Arabidopsis thaliana: one gene and its partners. Each later gene encodes a partner of the first gene's protein in a complex. Each region holds a gene or a part of one and is shown in the gene's direction. Other genes may lie near its edges. The genes, in order: SWP, AT3G10820, MED31 and AT5G05140.

What was found.
Region 2: SWP (region 1) and AT3G10820 share a complex: the UniProt entries of both Arabidopsis thaliana proteins name them as parts of the mediator complex.
Region 3: SWP (region 1) and MED31 share a complex: the UniProt entries of both Arabidopsis thaliana proteins name them as parts of the mediator complex.
Region 4: SWP (region 1) and AT5G05140 share a complex: the UniProt entries of both Arabidopsis thaliana proteins name them as parts of the mediator complex.

Annotation. Positions count from the first base shown.
Region 1 is NC_003074.8:1,292,027-1,299,806, forward strand, and holds the start of SWP (RNA polymerase II transcription mediator), read left to right. Parts: upstream 1-1,771; 5' UTR 1,772-2,010; coding exon 2,011-2,220; intron 2,221-2,777; coding exon 2,778-3,803; intron 3,804-4,218; coding exon 4,219-4,316; intron 4,317-4,392; coding exon 4,393-4,567; intron 4,568-4,645; coding exon 4,646-5,402; intron 5,403-5,486; coding exon 5,487-6,502; intron 6,503-6,607; coding exon 6,608-7,635; intron 7,636-7,727; coding exon 7,728-7,780. Other genes in the region: RALFL21 (RALF-like 21), read right to left, coding at 382-699. UniProt on the Arabidopsis thaliana protein: Component of the Mediator complex, a coactivator involved in the regulated transcription of nearly all RNA polymerase II-dependent genes.
Region 2 is NC_003074.8:3,385,514-3,391,544, forward strand, and holds AT3G10820 (Transcription elongation factor (TFIIS) family protein), read left to right. Parts: upstream 1-1,686; 5' UTR 1,687-1,844; coding exon 1,845-2,213; intron 2,214-2,324; coding exon 2,325-2,393; intron 2,394-2,506; coding exon 2,507-2,589; intron 2,590-2,886; coding exon 2,887-2,939; intron 2,940-3,017; coding exon 3,018-3,139; intron 3,140-3,251; coding exon 3,252-3,279; intron 3,280-3,363; coding exon 3,364-3,647; intron 3,648-3,731; coding exon 3,732-3,813; intron 3,814-3,897; coding exon 3,898-3,991; coding exon of another isoform or gene 3,992-3,992; exon of another isoform or gene 3,993-4,115; coding exon 4,116-4,149; exon of another isoform or gene 4,150-4,395; coding exon 4,396-4,463; intron 4,464-4,639; exon of another isoform or gene 4,640-4,723; coding exon 4,724-5,180; 3' UTR 5,181-5,490; downstream 5,491-6,031. Other genes in the region: AT3G10815 (RING/U-box superfamily protein), read right to left, coding at 1-95; AT3G10840 (alpha/beta-Hydrolases superfamily protein), read right to left, coding at 5,694-5,923. UniProt on the Arabidopsis thaliana protein: Component of the Mediator complex, a coactivator involved in the regulated transcription of nearly all RNA polymerase II-dependent genes.
Region 3 is NC_003076.8:6,730,730-6,734,577, reverse strand, and holds MED31 (SOH1 family protein), read left to right. Parts: upstream 1-1,587; 5' UTR 1,588-1,756; coding exon 1,757-1,806; intron 1,807-1,885; coding exon 1,886-1,983; intron 1,984-2,107; coding exon 2,108-2,204; intron 2,205-2,298; coding exon 2,299-2,377; intron 2,378-2,442; coding exon 2,443-2,532; intron 2,533-2,710; coding exon 2,711-2,964; intron 2,965-3,081; coding exon 3,082-3,094; 3' UTR 3,095-3,342; downstream 3,343-3,848. Other genes in the region: AT5G19920 (Transducin/WD40 repeat-like superfamily protein), read left to right, coding at 184-554, 638-956. UniProt on the Arabidopsis thaliana protein: Component of the Mediator complex, a coactivator involved in the regulated transcription of nearly all RNA polymerase II-dependent genes.
Region 4 is NC_003076.8:1,517,895-1,523,639, forward strand, and holds AT5G05140 (Transcription elongation factor (TFIIS) family protein), read left to right. Parts: upstream 1-1,810; 5' UTR 1,811-2,458; coding exon 2,459-2,920; intron 2,921-3,008; coding exon 3,009-3,077; intron 3,078-3,157; coding exon 3,158-3,240; intron 3,241-3,334; coding exon 3,335-3,387; intron 3,388-3,503; coding exon 3,504-3,653; intron 3,654-3,738; coding exon 3,739-4,031; intron 4,032-4,113; coding exon 4,114-4,195; intron 4,196-4,284; coding exon 4,285-4,403; 3' UTR 4,404-5,243; downstream 5,244-5,745. UniProt on the Arabidopsis thaliana protein: Component of the Mediator complex, a coactivator involved in the regulated transcription of nearly all RNA polymerase II-dependent genes.

The DNA of each region.
Region 1 (7,780 bases):
CATATAAACGTGAGGAGGAGGAGGAGAATGAGATAAAAGGGTCCACCTGGGCCCAAAAACACCAACCCTGTTGAGAGATGTTAGGACCCTCGTGTGGGCTGGGCCCAGTCAAAAATCATTGTCTTGTTGTGTATAACAAACATTACAGGTTCACACGTGTGACACACTAGGTCCTTAAATGCTATGAATATATGTGATCTGATTTGTTTTATTTTACCATTAATAAGAAGGAGCTTAAATCGAACAAAACTGAATGATAAAACAAGATTTCACCACTGTATATATCGTAATACAATAATACATGCTGAAAAATATTAAGGTAAATGTGTAGATGTAGAGAACAACATGGCTTAAACACAACCAAACCCATAAATTTATTATTCATGGATATTGGATATATGCATTATATGCATTATTATAAATTAATTGACCTCGTATTAACATTTTTCTAGAAATTGGTGCAGGGGGTGAATCGCGTCTACATCTATGTATTTTACTACATCCCCGTCTGTAAGGATTCACTGGTTGTTCGGAGGGTGCACATGCAGAAGGATACCGATGATGATCACAAGGAAGATCAGGCTTCAACCCTGGATACCCAATTACTTTTCCAACCGTCATGTTCATGCTGCTTATGAACACACATGCTATGAATGTTGCCACTAGCATAAACCTATTTGTTATTTTCATATTGCTCATGATTTGTGTTTATTTATGTGTGTGGGAGAAATATATATTTGTTGGTAAGAATGGTACAGTTCGTGGTATTTATAGTGAATAAATAATTGTGAAAGAGTCTTATACAACTTTTACTTAAAAGGAAATTACAATAGGATGTTGAATTGACCGGTAGAAAATGTACCTACAGAATTCTTTAGTAATACATGTATTATAGATATAGTCCTTTTTTAGCCAAAGTAGTCAAACTAGCTTTTAGATATGCATGTTGTGGTCATAGTAATACTAATACAAAACAGTTTTATAGCCAAAGTAGTCAACAATATTTGAGTTCTATGTACTCTTTTTTTTTTGGTCAAAGAGTTCTATGTACTCTAATATAGTATATCAATATATTAGGTTTCATGTTCTTCCAGTACATGGAGGTGAAAACAAAGCACTTTTTTCTTACAGAAATTTTTTTACATCAATAATATGCAAATATCATAAACTAATAATAATTATAAATACACCAAAATAGTGTGTCAAAATTGGTTGTAGACAACTATTAGAATGAACACATCGCTGGGCTTTTTGGTATTGGGTTCAAAGTATATATAAAAATTCATGCTGGTTCTTTATTTGCCGCCCAACATAAATTAGTTGGACAAGTGAGAAGGCCTTGCTACTCCTACATGCGTTACACTATTACAGTATTACTATTGCTTCATAGAAAAATAAACCTCGTACCAAAATCTCAAATAAGTGTTTCTTGTGGTTCCTTATGAAAAATTGTTATACACTATTACAGTATTACTATTCACCGTTTATTGTCGGAACTCGGAACAACGTTTTCACCGTCCAATTGTTATACACACTATTCACCATATATACATTAATACATCACACATCTTCTACTTAAGAGTGTAGTGTACATTAATGATAATTTTGTAATTAACCTTTTTAATGATGGTTAAAATGTCTAATTAATAATTTAATAGTGACTTACTTGCTTACGTGGATAAAAGAGAGACCCCACACAAAAATTAGATTTTGCCGTCTGTTAAAAAAAAAGGCTTCTTCAGCCGATTTCTCCAAAAATCGTTTTTTTTTTTTTTTTTTTCATCTTCCGTTCAACGTTTTGCGTTCGACTCTTCCCTGACCCCTTTCAATTTTAAACCCTTTTTCTCTGTCTCTCTTGTCCGAATCAAATCCGGTTGCTGGAAAAGGGAAGCTTTGTGCTTTTGTCGTCGTGGTGGGGGAAGCGGAGGATAAGAACCCTAATTTTTTACGAATCGTGAGATCTCCTAAGTTTCTGAATCGGGTGGTGGCGATTTTGTTTCTTTCTCCGCGATGGCGGAATTAGGGCAACAGACGGTGGATTTCTCTGCTCTTGTTGGTCGAGCCGCAGAGGAATCGTTCCTTTCTTTTAAGGAACTTGTGGATAAGTCTAAGTCGACGGAGCTTTCTGATACTGAGAAGAAGGTTAGCCTCCTTAAGTATGTCGCTAAGACTCAGCAACGGATGCTCCGCCTCAATGCCCTCGCCAAGTGGTGTAAACAGGTTTGTCTTTCTCTGTTTCTCGCTAAGTATTAACGTTTTGGGTCTGTGGGTCGAAGTGAAAGTTTGAAGCTTTCTTGGACTGGAATTGGATATGTTGCAAGATTAGGGTTTGGTTTTGTTGATTGCATGATCTATTAGTTTTAAACACATTTCCCGTGGATATAGTTTTGATGTTTGTAGGATGATTTACAGACTTTGAATGGAATTGGAAGATCCTTTTGTGTGATCTTGTCCTTGATGGGTTTTTGTTGTTTGGATTACGTTGCTTGTCTACTAAAGTTTAGATTTGTCTCTTAAATTCCATGGAACTTCACATTCCAAGTAGGCTTATCAATGTTATCATGTACTTCTGTTATTTCTGCATATTTTAAGAAATTTATGACTGTAGTGTCTCTGTAAAAATTCAAGGTAGTTTACTTCAGATCAACGTTCCATTTTAAAAAATTATGATTTCATAGATTGTTGATGCTTGCTTGTGTTCACTTTCTTTACAGAGTAAGTATTCGAAAATTTATTGAGCTATTTATTCATTTTTGGCTAAACCTCCTGGGCTGCAGGTTCCTCTTATAAACTACTTTCAAGACCTTGGGAGTACATTATCAGCTCATGACATATGCTTCACACAAGCTGCGGATTCGCTGTTTTTTATGCATGAAGGTCTACAGCAAGCTCGCGCTCCTGTCTATGACGTTCCCTCTGCTGTTGAGATTTTGCTGACAGGTTCTTATCAGCGCCTGCCAAAGTGTCTAGATGATGTGGGCATGCAGAGCTCTTTGGATGAGCATCAACAGAAACCAGCTCTAAGAAAGCTGGAGGTACTTGTACGTTCCAAACTGCTTGAAATCACACTTCCAAAAGAAATAACAGAGGTGAAAATTTCTAAAGGTACAGTTACCTTATCTGTCGATGGGGAATTTAAAGTTCTTGTTACTCTTGGTTACCGAGGGCACCTATCCATGTGGCGGATATTGCATTTGGATCTACTTGTTGGTGAAAGAAGTGGCCCCATTAAACTTGAAGTGACAAGACGGCATATCCTTGGAGATGATTTAGAGCGTCGAATGTCCGTGGCAGAAAATCCATTCACAATTTTATATGCGGTGCTCCATGAGCTGTGCGTTGCCATTGTCATGGACACAGTCATAAGACAGGTCCGAGCTCTTCTGCAGGGGAGATGGAAAGATGCAATTCGCTTCGACTTAATTTCAGATACTGGTACCACACCAGCGAACCAAGAAGGAGAGGCAGATTCTGTTAGTCTTCGAACGCCAGGAATGAAACTTTTTTACTGGTCAGATTCTGATAAAAATTCTGGCCCATTTATTAAAATTGAACCAGGGTCAGATCTCCAGATTAAATGTTCTCACAGCACATTTGTAATTGACCCACTTACTGGCAAGGAAGCTGAGTTTTCTCTCGACCAGAGCTGCATTGACGTGGAGAAGCTTCTGCTTAAAGCTATATGCTGTAATAGATATACCCGTCTTCTTGAAATTCAGAAAGAGCTTTTGAGGAATACTCGTATTTGTCGAACTCCAAGTGATGTGATCCTTCAAGCCCTCCTGGATGAGCCTGGTATTGAGGTAAAGAAAGAGTTGTTTTCGGCTTAATGTTGAATATTTTGTTCCTTGAAAGTTGTAGGACTTTTTCCCAGGTCAGAGCTACTTACACTAGTTGGACATTTAGTATGTCACTTGCATGTCAATAGATAGATTTCTGTTTATGACACATAGCCCTTGCTAAATAATGCATAGCTTTCATGCTATAGACCATGAGATTAAGCATTAATAATCGCAAATTTAAATTTCAGAGATGGCCGAACCTAGGTTTCGATAATTTATATTTTTTCGAAAAAGTAGTTTAATTTTTGCAGTTCACATGGCCTATTGCCTAGCTTCTTTTGGCTGGGGAGCTAGTATAGTTAGGCCATATTTCTCTTGCTGTCTCAACAACTAATTGAATTTAATTGGATCATTTTCTCTTTCGCCATTCTTTTAGGGAGATAACATGGTAGACTCTAAAGAGCGAGTAGAGCCAGAGGTCTTACGAGTGCGAGCCTATGGATCTTCATTTTTCACACTGGGGATAAATATAAGGTATGATATCTTCATCTATGTATTGGGAGAGATCTTATTTTAGCTGACTATTCTCACTATATGTTATTGATTGCAGGACTGGTCGGTTTCTTCTACAGTCATCCAAGAGTATCTTGACCTCCTCCATCTTGGAGGAATTTGAAGATGCGTTAAACCAAGGAAGTATATCTGCAGTTGATGCCTTTATCAACTTGAGAAGCAAAAGTATTTTGCATTTTTTTGCTGCTATTGGCAAATTTTTGGGTCTTGAGGTAGTAATTGTTTGCCTCAGCTTGTTGTTCAAATTCACTCTCTGGAGTTGGGAGTGTTGACGTTTGCGTTTAATGCAGGTCTATGAACATGGTTTTGGTATAAACAAAGTTCCTAAAAGCCTCTTGGATGGGTCAAGCATTCTGACTTTGGGATTCCCTGACTGTGAAAGCTCTCACCTTTTGCTAATGGAGCTCGAAAAGGACTTCACACCATTGTTTAAATTACTGGAAACTCAGATGGATGGTTCGGGAAAACCTCAGTCTTTCAATGATCCAAGCAATATTTTGCGAGCTAAGAAAATTGATATAGGGCAGATACGGATTCTCGAAGATGATCTTAACTTGATTACATCCGATGTGGTTAAATTTGTATCTTCATTCTCGGATGCTGAGGGCATAAATCAAGCATCTGGACACCGTCAGCCTGGATTGGTTGACGAGGCTTTGACAGAAATGAGTGGAAGCCAGTTGAGTTTCTCTAGTGTCGTAGATGGAGTGTTTGGACTTCAGAAAGTGACATCTGCTCTTATGTCAATTGATGGACATGGTTTAGTTCCCAAAAATCTCTCTGCTGTTACCGGCCATGGAAAAGCTCCAATGTTGACTAGCTATCATTCAGATTCCTTGTATAATCGACAGGGTCCCTTACAATCTAGCTCTTATAATATGTTATCATCTCCCCCTGGGAAGGGTTCAGCTATGAAGAAGATAGCCATCTCTAACTCTGACCAGGAGTTATCCCTGATACTGTCTCCATCCCTCTCTACTGGGAATGGAGTCTCTGAGTCAGGCTCTAGACTGGTCACTGAATCCTCATTGTCACCTCTTCCCCTATGTAAGAACATTTTTCCATAGCCTTTTTTTTTACCTTCATAGAACTTTCTCAATATTAGAATTCAAAAATTTCCGTTATTTGCAGCTCAAACAGCTGATCTTGCAACATCATCTGCTGGTCCTTTGTTAAGGAAAGATCAGAAGCCCCGGAAACGTTCAGCTTCAGATTTGCTAAGATTGATCCCATCCCTCCAGGTAGTGGAAGGTGTTGCTAGTCCCAATAAGAGAAGAAAAACCTCTGAACTGGTACAGAGTGAATTAGTGAAGAGTTGGAGCCCTGCATCACAGACCTTATCCACTGCCGTGTCAACATCAACAAAAACTATAGGATGCAGCTATGGGAATCTCATAGCTGAAGCAAACAAGGGGAATGCACCTTCAAGCGTTTTTGTTTATGCTCTTCTCCATGTGGTCAGGCATTCTTCGTTGTCCATAAAGCATGCCAAACTAACTAGTCAGATGGAGGCATTGGATATTCAATATGTTGAGGAAATGGGACTAAGAGATGCATTTTCAGATATATGGTTCAGGCTTCCATTTGCTCAAAATGATTCCTGGCAACATATATGCTTGCAGCTTGGTAGACCTGGAAGCATGTGTTGGGATGTGAAAATAAATGACCAACACTTTAGGGATCTCTGGGAACTTCAAAAGGGAAGTAAAACCACACCATGGGGTTCTGGAGTTCACATTGCGAATTCATCTGATGTTGATTCTCATATCCGTTATGACCCTGAAGGTGTTGTTCTGAGCTATCAGTCTGTGGAAGCCGATAGTATAAAGAAGCTTGTGGCCGACATACAAAGGCTTTCAAATGCTAGAATGTTCTCCCTTGGTATGCGGAAACTACTTGGCATAAAGCCAGATGAAAAAACAGAAGAGTGCAGTGCTAATTCCACTATGAAAGGATCTACTGGAGGAAAAGGCAGTGGTGAGCCAGTAGATAGGTGGAGAGCTTTCAAGATTGAGGCTGTGGGATTAACAAGCCTGTGGTTTAGCTTTGGTTCAGGCGTTTTGGCGCGTTTTGTTGTCGAGTGGGAATCAGGTAAAGATGGATGCACCATGCATGTCTCTCCTGACCAACTATGGCCACATACAAAGGTGAGTAGTTCGCAGGACTTAACATTTGCTCTCTTCATGGGAAATATTTTTATTATAAGAGTTCCAAATATATGCTTTTTCTCATCGTGAGTTACTCTTGTACAGTTCTTGGAGGATTTCATAAACGGAGCAGAGGTAGAATCCCTTTTGGATTGCATTCGCCTTACTGCTGGGCCTTTGCATGCATTAGCTGCCGCTACTCGCCCTGCCCGAGCTAGTACTGCCACTGGCATGCCTGTTGTACCTGCTACAGCGTCTTCAAGACAATCAAATCAGATACAACAAACTCAAGGAATCATTGCCCCTTCAACTTTAGCAGCTCCTAATGCTACTGGCCAGTCTGCCTCAGCAACTTCAGGAAATACTGTTGCTTCTTCTGCTCCAAGCCCACTTGGTGGAGGTTTCCATGGAGTTGCAATGCTAGCAGCTGCAGGGAGAAGCGGACCTGGCATCGTTCCAAGCTCTCTCTTGCCCATCGATGTCTCTGTAGTACTCCGTGGACCCTATTGGATAAGGATCATATACCGTAAACGTTTTGCAGTAGACATGAGATGTTTTGCTGGAGATCAAGTCTGGTTGCAGCCAGCAACTCCACCCAAGGGTGGTGCTTCTATTGGAGGCTCCTTGCCATGTCCCCAATTCAGACCTTTCATCATGGAGCATGTTGCTCAAGAATTGAACGGTTTAGAACCAAATTTGACAGGTAGCCAAGGAGCAACAAATCCCAACAGTGGAAACCCAACTGTTAACGGTGTGAACAGAGTTAACTTTTCCCCTTCTAGTGCAAGAGCTGCAATGAATCGAGTAGCCAGTGTTGCTTCAGGATCTTTAGTGGTTAGCTCAGGATTGCCTGTGCGTAGAACACCAGGCACTGCTGTACCAGCGCATGTAAGAGGTGAATTAAACACAGCGATAATCGGTTTAGGTGATGACGGTGGCTATGGCGGAGGATGGGTTCCTCTTGTGGCTCTTAAAAAGGTTTTGCGTGGTATCCTTAAATATCTTGGAGTACTGTGGCTATTTGCTCAGTTACCAGATCTCTTAAGAGAGATCTTGGGTTCCATCTTGAAGGATAACGAAGGCGCTCTCTTGAATTTAGACCAAGAACAACCAGCCTTACGCTTCTTTGTCGGGTAAGCCAAACCAAGAAACTTATGCTCAATCTTGAAGGATTATGCTTAAGCTTATCTATTGTTTTGTTTTTTTGTTGTTTTTGTTTTTGCAGTGGCTATGTGTTTGCGGTGAGTGTCCATAGAGTTCAGCTCCTTCTTCAAGTCC
Region 2 (6,031 bases), 2.1 Mb from region 1:
ATGCAAGCTCCTTCTCTTCTGCCTTCTCCTTGAAGATGGATTCCTCGTCTACAAGTATGACACCAATGTGTATTTTTCCGCCTAGTCGTAGTCATGGATCTGCAAAAAGGAAAAACGATTTTTTCTCGTCAAACCATTGTCAAGGACCTTTTAGAAAAAAGATTAAAATAACTCATCGTTTGTAACTCTACTGGTGACTAAGTAACATAAATTCCGGACGGAACAAGGCTTCAAGATCACAAGCCAACGAATTTCAAAGTTGGAAAATGAACTAAATTCGAAGAGATATTATGAGTTAAAAGTCCGAAACTGTTTTGTTATATTAATTTAAAATAGGTTTTACAATTTTAGATATATAAGCCCTAAACAACTTTCACAAATCCAAAATGGATACACTAGAAGCACAATTTGAAAGATACATAAAACACTGAACCCTTACAAACACATGACAAGAAATCGATTAAAAGGCCTTTAGATTCAAATCAAACGCAAATGACGTAGAAACAAATAGTCAAATACAAGTAGTGTTTAAGCTCCATAGCTTAATCTTTGACCCCGTGATCTTGCTTTTGCATAGTAGCTATTTTTGTAGAACCAAAATTATGCAGAAATTTTTACACTGAACCAAAACAAAAATATGCAGAAACAAGATCATGCATGGGTTTTAACATTAAACCAAAAAAAGATCATGAATGAGTCAAAGATTAAGCTATGGAGCATAAACGATAACATGTGATCGGTGGAAACAAAACGAATCATGCAAGTATGGCTTACCGGAGTTAAAATGGATTGATCCGACAAACTTGTGAATCTCCAAGTGCTGAAAGAATATTTAAAATAGAAGAAAAGGAAACTTTTGGAAGAAGAGAAGTCTTTAACGCAACTGAAAATAGAGTCGAGGATGATATCGACGACGAAACTTCAAAAGACAGCTTCAACAACGGGAACATGTGGCTGAAGCTTAACAAAAGAGTCAAAGCACGAAACTAACGAGAAATTTAATGAAAAAAATACAAAAATAATAATTTAATACTAGTACTAATTAAAAAATAGTGCTAAACATCTGTGGGACTATGAACAATGCTTTTTAAAACGACATAATTGCGACACCAAAAACGCGTTTATTTAGATTACCTTTCAAGTAATTCACGTGATAAATGTAATTATCCATAACTTTGAAAAATGAGTACCCCATTGTTGGTATCAGGACATGTGTAATGTGTTAATAATTTACTATTACAGTATGCTCTGAATGTAATGTTGATAACATAACTTTAAAAAAACGAATATCCCATCTTTATACTAGCTAGGCCATGTGACGTGTTTTTCATCAAGGGTCATTATGTCATATAGGACGACACATGTATAGTCTAGTTATTACTAATTTACTATTAACTAAATAATCATTCAGTTAATCATAAGCCTATATCTTTAGAATTAATATATATATTGACAAATTCAATATTTTACTTAAATAAAACAGATGAGTTATCAAGATAAATGATCAAAACTATTACCATTTTTTTTTATAACCTAAGTTTTTTAATGTCGACATAAATTTCTGGCTTTTTAAAATTCTAGGGTCTTCTTCTCTTGCCCTCTTTTAATTGGCTCAAGCTCTGTTTCTTTAAGTTTTCTCGGGAAAGTTCTTGTGGACTTTCTGCAGAAACTTTTGTCAGATTCTCAGGCGAATTTTATTTCCTGCAGAGAAACTTAAAAAAAAAAAAAACTACACAACTAGTACTATATTGATTCGTATTCAAAAACCTAAATTCAAATTTAATTAGGGTTTTGCAGATCGAGGAATTCGGATTCCGGAATCGATTTTCCCTCGCCGTTTCGTGATGGCGAAGATGAGACCATCTGTTTCGTTGGATACTTGGAGAGAGTATTTCCGGCGAGGAGATTCTGATATTTTTGGTATCATTGATCATGCGATTATGGTAGCTGCTGCAGATTGGCCAAAGGAGTTTAAATCCAGGAGTGATAGAATTGCTGAGCTTCTCTTCTCTTGTAAAGTGAGTCGCTGCATTGGTTGTGACCACCTTGAGCTCTCGATAGCTGGAGACGAAGCGGCGGTGGAGATAGTTGGAGTTGGCGGCGGCGGTGATAGGGGTGATTCTGGTGTTGCGACGGGTGAAGGTGAAGAGGCGTCTGTGAGTGTTGATGAGGTTATGAGGATCAGAGATATCTTGTCGAACAAAGACGATGAGGTTTTTAGTCTCTTTGCTTGGATTACATTAAAACTTGTGCTAATTCATTGGTTAAATTTGGAATCTTTGTGTTGATTGTTGAGTTTTTGGTTTCTGTCATCTTTTTTGCAGAAAGATTCTGTGTTACTCGAATCTCTGAGAAAGCTTGAGTCAATGTCTATGAGTGTGGACATTCTTAAGGTTTGTTTTTTTGGTGTTGTTTTGATATTGTATGATTTGGTGTAGTGGAAGTTGCTTATTCTGATGGAGCTTTTCGAGGCTGTGGAGTGATTTAAGTGTTTACGTTCTTGCAGGATACTGAAATTGGAAAGGCTGTTAATGGTCTGAGGAGACATAGTTCCGATAAGATTAGCAAACTTGCAAAGACTCTTTTCGCGTATGAGTTTCATCATTCTCATTGTGTGCTTAGTTTCATTTGTTCTCATACTCTCGCATCTGTGATGTGAATTAAACTTTGGCAAAATGTTCCAAAAAAATTGAACCTCCACGGTTTGATTTAGATGCAAACCAGTTGCCTTGTAGGATGTCTCAAATTGTAAAATGTCATTATAAAAGCCTTGGTTGATCATTAGGGAGCTGCTCTTGTGTTAGCTCAATACTTAGAACATTTTACTCTTCCTTACTTTCTGGCTCCCGAGTATAAAGATTGTGTTTTTATATATGGGATGCACAGAGAGTGGAAGAGGCTGGTGGACCAGTGGATGAACACCCCAGAGGAAATGGCTGGTAAATAGCTCTCTCCTCCTGTTCCGTAGTCAGTGCGAGCAGGTTTTGGTCTAGATTTATAGTAATTGGGTCTTGCAGGCACTGAAGGGACGCCAGAGTCTCTAAACCTTTCAGTAATTGATGAAGAAGAAGCCTTTCCTTCTCCTCCACATGATTTAGATATCTATGCACCTGAACCTAATGGGTTTGAACTTTCTCAGGTCTATTAACATTTTTCCCTCTCATCATATTTTATTTCTGGCATAGACGAAATGTTATCCTGACAAGTTTCCTCCCTCGTCCTTGTTTCATAATGTCTTGGGTCACTTGAAGATCTTAGATTGTTTGGACTGCGATGGAAGTGAGTTAGTATACTCTTTGGTACTCTGTTCTCTACTTGAAAGTTTTCCTATATTTTGACACTCATGGTGGCCACTGTTTTCAGATCCTCGTCACAGTGTGGAGTCCAAACATGAAAGAAAATCGCAAAGTAGTGCGGGGAGGAGACCCAAGGGAACAAATGATGCAAATGTGGTTGGGAGGTACTGCAATGATCAACAGACGAGGAGAGAAGAAGCTGATGTTAGACCTATGAAGCACTCAGCCACAGATGTTGTCGAGCCTAAAAGACAAACAAAGCAAAGTAGAGAACAAATGGTATCCGCAATCCAACGAAAACCAACTGCTGTTACTGAGCAAAAGCGGAAACTTGCTGGACCTCAACAAGATGTGAGTGTTTGAGTTAATAAAGCCGTGGTGTTTGATTATTAATCTGTTTTGTTTCTAATAGCAAGTGTTCTTGTCTTTGTTCAGAAACTCAAAGCTCTGGATCCAGACTCAAAGTTTGAGTTTGCAAAGCGGAAACTCCAAGAGAGCTACCACCAACATGAGAATGGTTAGTCAAATCGTCTTAAGAGATTTCAATATTTCCACTATTACAATACACCTAATTCTTAATGACCCATTTGTTTTTGAACAGCTAAGAGACAGAGGACGATACAAGTACTGGAAACTATCCCAAAGCAAAATAAAGTTCAGAAACCGCAACTCAAGAGACCCGCCACACGAAGATAGTCCATTTTTTCCTTCGGATGATCTATACAATTACTACGACCATTCAGAGGCGTTAATATACAACAAAAGTGCATTGACAGATCCAACATAAACTTCTTAGGATGCTCTATTCTTTTGTCCCAGTATTTATTGGTACTTCTGGTCCAGTGAATTCCCGGTTTGGTCCGGTTTTGTGACAATAGAACCTCATAATTGTGACAAGGGAAAATCCCTTTTTCACTTTCTTCATGTTTCATTATGAAAATAAAAAAGAAAATTATTAGGACAAAAGGGCTTCTCGTATTTGACCATCCCTAAACCTAACTTGCGAGGCAAGCAAACTTTTTAAATCTGTTTATACAAAGATTTTGTAATTTTTAATATCACTTATGAGGTGAAATATAACAGAGTGATAAATTCCTAGGGTTACGAGTTACCTTCCCTCATCCTCAATCTCGCGAATCCTCGTGATAGTTCCTCCCAATTCTCAAGGTACCTACTTCAATTTTCCTTGTTGTAAATTTTGTTTTCCTAGTGCTAGTTATCGATAAACCTGATGGGTTAAACGTTGAGCTGTTAAGAATTCTGGCCTAGATTTTGTACGTCGGGGATACAACCGAAAGTCTTTGATTGGAAATCGAAAAGCCCTAATTTTGTGGCCTTTATTGATAAACATAAGTGAGAGCATAGGTTTGGTAAAACAATGGTCTCTGTTTGCATTGCATAGAATTGAAATTTAGCTGCATATGTAGACATGATGAGTTGATGATTGATATTCCTGTATATTTTGGACTCGTACTTGTGCAGATAGATAAAGCAGAGATGGTGGATGAGATGATGATTTTCAAGAAGATGAGTGTCCTTCTAACTGAAAAGGATTTTGTTGATGCCATCGTATCTGTTTCTCTCAAGGACCTTACGAGATCACTCTTTGTCAGGTTCGAGGCCAAGGCTTGCCCTAAGTTTGACCTTATCCATAAGACTTCCGTCGAGACGGTTAGGTGCGTAGGGAAAACCTTTATGCATATGCTCTCTAAGGTTTCTAGAGAGTTTCCTCCCCGCAATCGAACTCATCCCGGTGGCCTCCTCTATCAGCGATTTGATCCTACTCACTTGTCTCTTGCTCGCCAACAAGTTGCTATATGCAAGGAAACTGATTCACAGTATCCGCATGAGATTGTGATTCACTGGACAAGTGCAAGCGCCTGAAAGTGGATGCTCTTGGTTACATGTTTACTATTGCAATGAGATGCGCCCCTAGTTTGGCTTATCTCGAAAAGTTCAGGCAGTACATGGCTCAGGCGAATGAGAAGAATCTGGAAGATGAGACTGCTGCTACTCTGACGAACAAGAAGCATGTCGCCCTCTTGGCTGAGGAAGACTGCACAGTCCTTTGCACCCCTCGCTTTGAGTTTCAAAATGTTGCCGACTTTGTTCTTCCAGAAACTTTGCGTTGGCTTGACGAGTTGGAGCTTCAAGCCAGCTTCAAGCTCCAAGCTAATCAACTGGACTCTGCAAAACTTGCCCGCACTCGCAAGAAGCACCACATGGTGTATTATTCTCGCTTATATATCAATCTGTTGAAGAATCAATGTCTCTCGGTTATTTTATTCTATATCTATCTAGTCTTTGATATTGTCGACATTTGTTTCTTCAGGTCCAATAACATGAAGAATCTCTCTAAAATTTAGTCTTGATTGAGCTAAAATATATAGTTATACTTCATGATACAATGCCTTGGAACTTCAAGTCCACGTCTTGTTGTTGTGACCCTCCAAAAGCATTCCCTAGAAACTTTGCAACAATAGATATGAATTCATCTGGTTTTTCCTCTTGAGGAAGATGACCACATTTCTTAATTACTTCGAACACTGATCCCGGTATGGCTCGTGCCAGCCTCTCTGCGTTCCATGCTGGCACAATACGGTCCGTATCTCCCGTCACAATCAGAACTATTAGAAACATGAAGATAGTATGATGTCATTGGTTCAGAGTTCAGACATACAATGCACAATATTTGGTTCCAATTTCTAATTCATTGTCAGAATCTTATAGAAAGA
Region 3 (3,848 bases), on another chromosome or scaffold:
AGTTAACTTGGTCTTCATAACCTGTTAGAAAGAAAAAAATCAATATAGCTGGAATAATTGGGAATTTGATTCGACCCTTGACTTATCTACTAGTTGTAAGATCTAACTTGATGGTTATAGTCTTTTATCCTTGGGGAAGTTAGTTATGTGCTCATTTCTTTTTGGATATCTGTTCATCTGCAGAGATGTGAGTCGCAATTTATGGAGGACAGGCCTCATAGCAAAGGTCTTATCAACAGAATCATGTTTACGCCTTGGGATGATCCTTGCTTCATCACAGGTGGGAGTGACCATGCAGTAGTGTTATGGCGGGATCAGTGTGAGAATAATGCGTGGAAGCCGACGCTTCTGCATAGGGACTTGCATTCGTCGGCTGTGATGGGAGTTACTGGAATGCGCCATAACAATCACGTCTTGTCATGTGGAGACGATAGGAGATTTGTTGGGTTTGATGCCCGAGAAGAAAAAGTCACATTTAAACATAGACTAGACAACAGATGCACAAATATAATGCCAAACCCGCGAGATGTTAATCTTGTCATGGTTAACACGAGGTAAAACTGACTCTTGATTTATATATATCCCAGAAGAAGCGATTGCCTTAAAGTCCGTTCTTTTGCTTGTGTTGTGTTTGCAGGCAGCTAGACCGGCAACTGCGGTTGTATGATGTTAGATTGCCTCAGACAGAACTATTTTCTTTTGGGTGGAAGCAAGAAAGCAGTGAATCGCAGTCGGCTCTAATTAATCAGTCTTGGTCTCCAGATGGTTTACACATCTCATCTGGTTCTGCAGACCCCGTGATCCACATCTTTGATATCCGATACAATGCACCGAGCCCGTCTCTCTCGATGAAAGCTCATAAGAAAAGAGTGTTCAAAGCCGAGTGGCACTCTTCTTATCCGCTGCTCGTCTCCATCTCATCAGATTTAGCAATTGGGATTCACAAGCTATGGTGAAAACTTGTAAAGCCATCACCTGAATTTGAAGGCCATTAACTTCTGAAACAGAACTTGTCTTGGCAAGTTGGCACAAGGTGTTGATTGGCAAGTAAGAACTGAGTACAGCACGCAGGCTGGATACGAAAACTGTCTTGGGAGTTGCATAGGTCAGTCCAGGGTCTGATGGCTCTTGTCTTTTGATTTTTTTTTTTAACTGTGGGAAACTCTAGCTTTTTAGCTGTCACATTTTGCGGGGATTACAACATTACAATGTACAGTATACATTTTTGAGGGCCAACTCATTGGAGCCAAATGTCCTCAGATTTTCTGTCTGCTATAATCCTCAACCATAGTTAGCATGACAAAGAGTTGCAACATCTATATCGATTGGTCACAAAAAAACTTTTGTATGATTGCATAAAGATTCCGGTCCATGTTTCAAAATTCAAGATTTGTCCTTGTGATTCATAATCTTGAGATAAGTAAGAAAGAGATTCATAACATGACTAAAAATGCCACCAAGTGAATCTTTGAATGTAAAGTAACTCCAAGTTTGGGCAGAGACTTCTCCATCTGCTACCGAGTATAACGGTTCTTTTAAGACCGCTTCTTGTGGAAAAAAAAAAAAAAAGACCGCTTCTTAAACCGTAATTTTGTACTAATTTTCCAATCTCTTTTTCTATTTGCATTCAGAACCGGTTTAGGCCTTTGGTTTATAACCAAAATTCAATTCAGAAATCAGAACCAAAATCCTCCGTCTACCTCCGTCTGATTCCTCTATTGGGAGAATCCAAATTTGCTTCAGGTTCCGTTCGTTCATGGCTTCGCCAGAGGAGATGGGTGATGATGCATCAGAAATTCCATCCCCGTGAGTGCATCTTCTTCCTCTTGTACACTTTCATATTCTTCAAATCTGCTCTTTTATTATCTAATTCGCATCTCTACAGGCCAAAAAACACTTACAAGGATCCCGACGGTGGAAGGCAACGATTCTTACTGGAACTTGAATTTATTCAATGTCTCGCCAATCCTACTTACATCCACTGTAAGTTTAGAATTCGTTCTATGGCTTAGGGTTTTAGTGTTCGAAATTGAGATTTAAAAAGGGATTTGTTCTAAGGCTTAGGGTTTGTACTTACCACATTCTGCTTTTGGTTACTGTTTGGCAGACCTGGCACAGAATCGGTATTTTGAAGATGAAGCATTTATTGGATACTTGAAGTATCTTCAATACTGGCAGCGACCAGAGTACATCAAGTTCATTATGTAAGTTGGAATATCTTATGGAATTGGTGTAGTCTTGTAGAGTCTTGTGAAGGTTTGGATAATATATCTTTGGTTTCCTATGTTCTTGTTACAGGTACCCACACTGCCTATATTTCCTTGAACTTCTTCAAAACCCCAACTTCAGGACTGCTATGGCTCATCCTGCAAACAAGGTACAAGAATACGATATGAATCATCAAGTGAAATCAGCATGTTAGTGAGCATTGTGAATAGGGAGTGGTTCAAAATGTTAGGGTACTGGTGTTTTTGGAATGTGTTTTGGGGACTTGTAGAGTTTAGGGTCTCTCTAGTACAAAACCTTGCTTACGTTCTGCTAGTTTGGTTCTGTGATTCTGCGTTTATGCCCATCTATTCATGAGATAGAGAAAGTTGTTTAATATTCTAAACTTTATGTCCTTTGTCAGAATTTCTTATAGGAAATCTATTGTTGTTGAAGTTTTCTTAAGTTTTGAACTTTGTCTTCGGTTGAATCTGGATTTTTCCAGGAATTGGCGCATAGACAACAGTTTTACTATTGGAAGAACTACAGAAACAACAGACTGAAGCACATTCTACCTCGGCCTCTTCCAGAGCCTGTACCTCCACAACCACCAGTTGCACCTTCAACTTCTTTGCCACCTGCACCATCTGCAACTGCTGCTCTCTCTCCAGCCCTTTCTCCAATGCAGTACAATAATATGCTTTCTAAGAATGACACTAGGAATATGGGTGCTACTGGAATTGATCGTAGGAAGAGAAAGTATGTGCTCCTTTCTTCTTCTTGATAATGATGACCATTTTGTGTGTGTTTTTAAGATGACTGCAAATGTGTTACGAAAAAAAGCAACACTCTAATATGTGAGTCATATAATGTCAGGAAGGGTATATAAGCATTTCCTGCCCTGAAGCATACACCATGGCGTCAGTCGTCAGATATGGTTTCCTCCATGTCCTAGGAGGGAAGCCTACTTGACTCAGGTTACAAAAATGTTGGAAACTCGGTATTACTCATTCCGTGTCATAGGCCGTTTATGGAAGTTGTCATATATGGTGTTCAATCTTTGTCTATGATATACAACAACCCCCAATCAGTATCAGTCTTTATCTTTGTTCCTATCGATCTTGACAATTGCAACACTTTATTTTTTTTGAGAAGCTTAGAAGCAATAGGAAAAATTATGGGAATGCCAAACATTTGTCCTTGGCAGAGATTGCTTCTGCCGGTAAAACATTAATTAGGAGTGGGGTTTCCATGTTGCACTTGTTGGTGGAAATTGTACGAAATGACTCTTTGACGTATCTTTGACAACAGTTAGAAGACCCAAACATGACAGAGTGTGCTATGGACCATGGTATACGAAACTTGATATGTGATGAAACTCGTATAACGTAACTCACGGTTCAAGAAAGGAGAAGAAAATAGCATAACTCAAGGATATGAATAAAAGAAGAACATGAACACTTATGGATTAGAAATGACTTTGATACCTTAAAATGTTGAGATTCTTCTCCATTGAATGATTAATTATAGGGAGGTTTGTTAATATAGTCCAAATTTTGGGGCTAATGTGTGATTGCAATCAAAACCAAATTTTGGAAATAGTCCACTTTTCTCTAAAATTATAATTAAAATACCATCATCAA
Region 4 (5,745 bases), on another chromosome or scaffold:
TAATTTGAGCCTAAAAAATTCTAATTTTTCTTTCCAACTCCAGTCTAATTTTTTTTTGTCGACTTCTAGCAAAATACATTAGGTGTTATATCTATAATTGGTTATTCAGATAATAAAAAAATTGTAATGAGACCGTCCGTGGTAGATGGATTTCTTATCTCTTGTATACAAAACACGCACCATTTTCTTCAAGTAGGTCCACTAAAACACCGTAAAGCAGCCACTATATCTGCTGACGTGTCGGCCAATCAAAGTCTGTCACGTAAACGTGGCTGTGACAAGCCCGTGAGGTTAGCACTCAAAGGAGTCCCAGTGTTTTTCACGCGTTTGAAGGTGAGTAAATTCTGATTGGTAATCACCACCGTCCCAAATCGTACGACTTCGTTTTGTCACGTATTAACATAAAATCAAATTATAATATTTTTAGGGGTCGATTTTGTTGACCAACATTTAATACATGCTTCTCATTCCACAAACAGAAACTTCCTTTTCTTCTTCTATTTTCTGTTGTTGCTCTAACAAATCAAGCTAAGTTTAATAGTCCAACTTATTTTATAACTTTGTAAACACAAAACAAAGTTCTTACTTTGAATTAAAACAGTTATGATTGTGGTATCATTTTGGAACATGTAAACATAAACGAAAATGCAAATACAAAGAAAAACAGTTGATTTTTTTTTTTTTCAACAACAACAAAAATAAGACAATGTATGATGATTGATGACATGATGCTATCATGCTATGTCTTTTTTTGGTAAATTCTCTAAAATAAATATGATCTAAGTTAAGGTTTGGTTGGATTGTACCGGAACATTATGAGTATAAGTGAAGAGTTGTAACTTTTATTTACAATTGATAAATTGTAAATAAACTACATATCTAAGACCATCTCTATTGGGAGTATCTCATAAGAGTTTCTCACAATTAAAAAAATAAAAATAATGAAAATGAAGGAGAGAGAGTGTAGAAAGTTTCTCACTTGAGAAACTCTGAGATAGTCTCTACAACCCATCATGACAATTATCATCTTACTATTGGTTTAATTTTTTAACAAAAATATTTTTTTAATCAAATAATCAAATTATAATATAATATTAATATTTTTTTTGTTTGAAAAACTTTGTGGGTTTTTCATGGATGGAGATGCCCTAATGGCCTTAACAAGTATGGGTTATGAAAAAATAGTCGATGAATTAATGAAAAAGCTGTGAGGGTAACGAGGTTAAAACATTGTGAGTCATTTTGTACCTAATCCAAAGTACAAAGGGATACAAAAAAAATAAAACAACTTTTTTGTTAGATATTTTTAAAACATTGTAAACAAAGAAATACTTGTTTCTCTGTCTTACAAATCTGAACAAATTAAAGTACCTAATCCAATTTCTTATAAAACAAAATAAAATGAAATGATAGTGTTAACTGTTAAAACATGAAACTATTGTTTTGAATCGGATTTACCAAATATTCTAATATATCACTCTTTGACTAGAAGATAAACGCTTTTGATCAGCAGCATTAGGAAATAAATATCTCTTCTTCAGAGCTTCTCATTAAAGTCCGTATAACTAACTAAACACTCTTAGTAGAATTTACTTTTGACATTTTCCAACGTAAAAAAGATTTATGACCCAAAAAAAAAAAAAAGAGTTTGACCTTGTAATCACTTAACTTGTGTCGTCGTTCAAGTACAACGCATGTGTGAGGAAAAAAAGAATAATGTGTTTTTATAATAATAATGAAAAGCCAAAACAGACCGATCAGGTCAAAAGAAAGCCGTAAAGAAAATCCAACTTAAAATAAAAATAAAATCTCTTTTACCAAACAGATATACAGAGAGACTTCAATCAGAGGAAATAAATAAATTTCATTATTTCTCTTTCTGAATTAATAAAAAGGTTTCTTGTTGAATTGAATTTGTAGCTGTGTTTAACGTAGTAGCACTTGGGTTTTAGATAGACAACGTAACCAAAACTGTTTCATGTTCTGTCTGTATTCTCTCTTTTGCTTTTTTGGGTTTCCTCCTTCTTTCTCATCTTTGCTGCGGTGCATTTTTTTCTCGGGAAAATCCTTTCTGGGCTTTCCGGGAAAGTTTTCTTGTCAGATTCGGAAAGGTACCAAAAAAAATAAATTAATAAAAACTTACCAAACAGATTTTGTGTTTATCTCTCTCTCTATAGATTCTTTTGATCACAAATCCTTTTCGTTTTTGATCATATTTTGATTGAGAACAAAACAATCTTCAAAGTCTCAACCTTTAAGTTTGATTGATCTTTTTTTGGTAAGTAAATCTTCTGTCGTAGATTCGATATTTTCTGATCTTCTCTTTTCGAATTCTTCAATCTTCAACGATCCCAATCTTCTTCTTCTGGAAATCTATTTTGCTTCTTCTTCAAATTTTCTGGGGAAAAAATCAAATTCTTGAGTTAATTAGACTCCGATTTTGTTGAATCGAGAAACGATGAAAGCATCGGGTTCATTAGATAGCTGGAGAGAATATTTCCGACGGCGAGGAGATTCCGATATATTCGGGATCATCGATCATGCGATCATGGTGGCTGCTACTGATTGTCCTAACAAATTCAAATCCAGAAGAGACAAAATCGCCGAGCTTTTATTCTCCTGTAGAGTGAATCGTTGCGTCGGATGCGACCATCTTGAATTGTCTGTTCCCGGAGACGACGAGGCTAACCGTGGAACCACCGGAAATGGTGGTGGTGGTACGGCGGTTGATGAAGATTATGAGGTTGCTGGTGGTAGTAAAGAGAGCAAAGCTAATAGTAGCAGAGGGGATAATAATCAGATTGTTAGCAATTATACATTTGATGAAGCTGAGGCTTTGAGTGATGAGATTGAAGAGTTTTCTGTGGTTTCTAAGGAGGTTGCTAGGATCAAAGAGATCTTGCTCAACAAAGAAGATGAGGTTTGATTCTCAAGTTCTTGAAATTTCATCAATGTGAAGATTTTTTTTTTGTGTTTTCTGATTGGTTCTTTTTTGTATTCTCTTGCAGCCAAACTCGGTGTTACTCGATTCTTTAAGACATCTTAAGTTGATGTCTTTGAATGTGGATATTCTTAAGGTTGGTTATCTTGGTGGATAGTGTATGAAGTTGTTGTTGATGATCCTTGAGATTCTTAAGGTTTGCGGTTATTCTCGCAGAGTACTGAGATTGGAAAGGCTGTTAATGGCCTCAGGAAACATTCTTCTGATAAGATTCGACAACTCGCTAAGACTCTTATCGCGTATGAGTTTTTGATCTTTCACAAGTTTGATTGACATTTGCTATGCTTTTGCACTTTTGAATCTCACATTTGAGTTTTTGATATGTTTATGCAGAGAATGGAAGGAGTTGGTGGATCAATGGGTGAATACCACAAAGGAAATCACTGGTAATTGCGCTTTCTCTGTCTCGCTTTTCGATCTTTTATGACTGGCTTCGTGTCTTACCGTTTGGTTTCTTGAATTAGATCCATAGTCTTTGGTTCTAATTTTGTGTTTAAAACAGGTGCTGAAGGTACACCAGAGTCTGCAAACCCGTCTGTCCTTGATGAAGAAGAGGCGTTTCCATCGCTTCCATATGATGTTGATATCTTTACACCTGAACCAAACGGATTTGAAATCTCACACTTCTTTGATTCCTTGGACTTTGATGGAAGTGAGTTTTAAAACTATGTCTTGTTTGTTTGAGAACATGTTCTTAGCTACGTGTTGATTGATTTTCTTGGGGATGTTTGTTTCAGATCCTCGTAACTCTGAAGAACACAACACAAGCCGAGAGCATGAAAGAAGGCCACAAAATATCGCCAAGAGAAAACCTGAGGGAACACAAATGAGGATACAAGATGCTCCTTTTAGATCTATTAAGCCATCATCAGCTACTGATTTTGATGGGACTAGAAGACCTGTAAAGCAAAGTACAGAGCAAAGGATGAAGAACGAAACGGTATCTGTTCACAAGTCTGAAAAACCCATGATCCAAAGGAAACCGGTTGTTACAGAACAGAAGCGGAAAGCTCCTGGACCTCAACAAGAAGTGAGTGTGGAGACAAAGCTCTTGTCTAATATCCTATTCTTGGACGTAGAATTGATGGTGTTTTTGCTCTTGTCCCTTGCAGAAACTTAAAGGTCTTGATGCAGACGCAAAGTTTGAGTTTGCAAAGAGGAAACTTCAAGAAAGCTACCAGCATCACGAGAATGGTTCGTTTCATTTCCTTTCTTTTGTTTCGAGTTTTTTGTTACATTCTTGAAAACAAAAGAACTTAAAAATGTTTGTGATCTTGCCACAGCCAAGAAGCAGCGAACGATACAAGTACTTGAGATGATCCCAAAGCAAGGTAGTGCTCAGAAACCGCAACTCAAGAGACCTGGAATGAGCAACAGGAATTGGGCTAATGGGAGAAAATAGTTTCTGCTTTGTTCAAATGGTGAATAATTCTCGGCAAAAGATATTACTCCATACTTACCACACATATCTCGCAATCTCTGGTGCAATAAAGGTAAACAGAGTCTAGTTCCACAAAGCTGGAGACAGAAACAAGCAGAGGAGAAGGAACAGAATCCAACATAACTTTACTTTGAACAAACTGTTTACTCCTCTGTTTTGTTCTGTCTTGGATTCACCAATTGCAGCAAGATAGGGATACCAATTATTGTTTCTTTTATGTGTTCTTTACTACATTCTTGAGACTTTCGGTACAGTCCCGGTTTAGTCGGGTTATGTTCGGTTTTGGGACAAGGAGAGAGGTCCCTTTTACATATATATCATATAAAAATAGTAAAAGAGAGGGTAGAAAAGCTCATTCGAAATTGACCGGCTCTTCACCTAACTTTGTATAGTAATGTGAAATGATTTGGGACACAATATAGAGATGATGACACTTTTTTCCAAATAAATAAATATTTATATAATGATATCCAATTGTTATGAATGAATGTGATTGTGACCGAATGTTGTCATTTCTTATTACTTATGTATATAAAATAAGATGGCATTGGAAAGGCTTAAGGAAGGTGGGTGGATAAGAAAAGAGGAGAAGGTAGTGGGGGGTGGGAGATAACGTGGATGGATAGGAATGTTGTTGCAGTGTGGTCTTTGTGCGTGTTGGTATTTTTTATTCAATGTTGTTATTATCTCGGCGTTACGCGTTCACGCATTTCACCACATGAACCACGTGGACTTCTACAACTTCTATTAATCTTTCACTCCATTTCTATTGAAAGAAAAACAGTTGGATAGAGATAAATCTAGTTTTATGGTCACGATTTTATTTCGTGAAAAGGAAAATGCACTTTTTAGTTTGATTAAATAAGTACACCCAAACACTTTTGGACAAAAACAAACGTAATGATTTTTGGCGTGATGGTAAATTCGTATGGATGTGTTGGTTATTTTTGTAAACTTTAGCATGTGAGAGAAAAAAAAAGTTGAGCATGTGAAAATACAAAAAATATTGTTGTCTGTGTACAAAAACTGAAATGACATTTAACATTTAGTAAGTTTCAAAATTTAAAACATTAACTCATAATCTCAAAACTTTAAACTAAACAAAAAACTGCAATTCCAAAAGCTCTAGAACTTAAATCTTACTATTGATGCAGCGAAATGTCTTTAGTTTTTTTTTTTTTAACAAAATTATGAGATCTTTTTTTGTTGTTGGAAATATCACTACAAAATGTCTAATTCATACTATTTTAAGAATATAAAAAATCTCATTTATAATCAATATGCAATGAATAAATTGACCTAT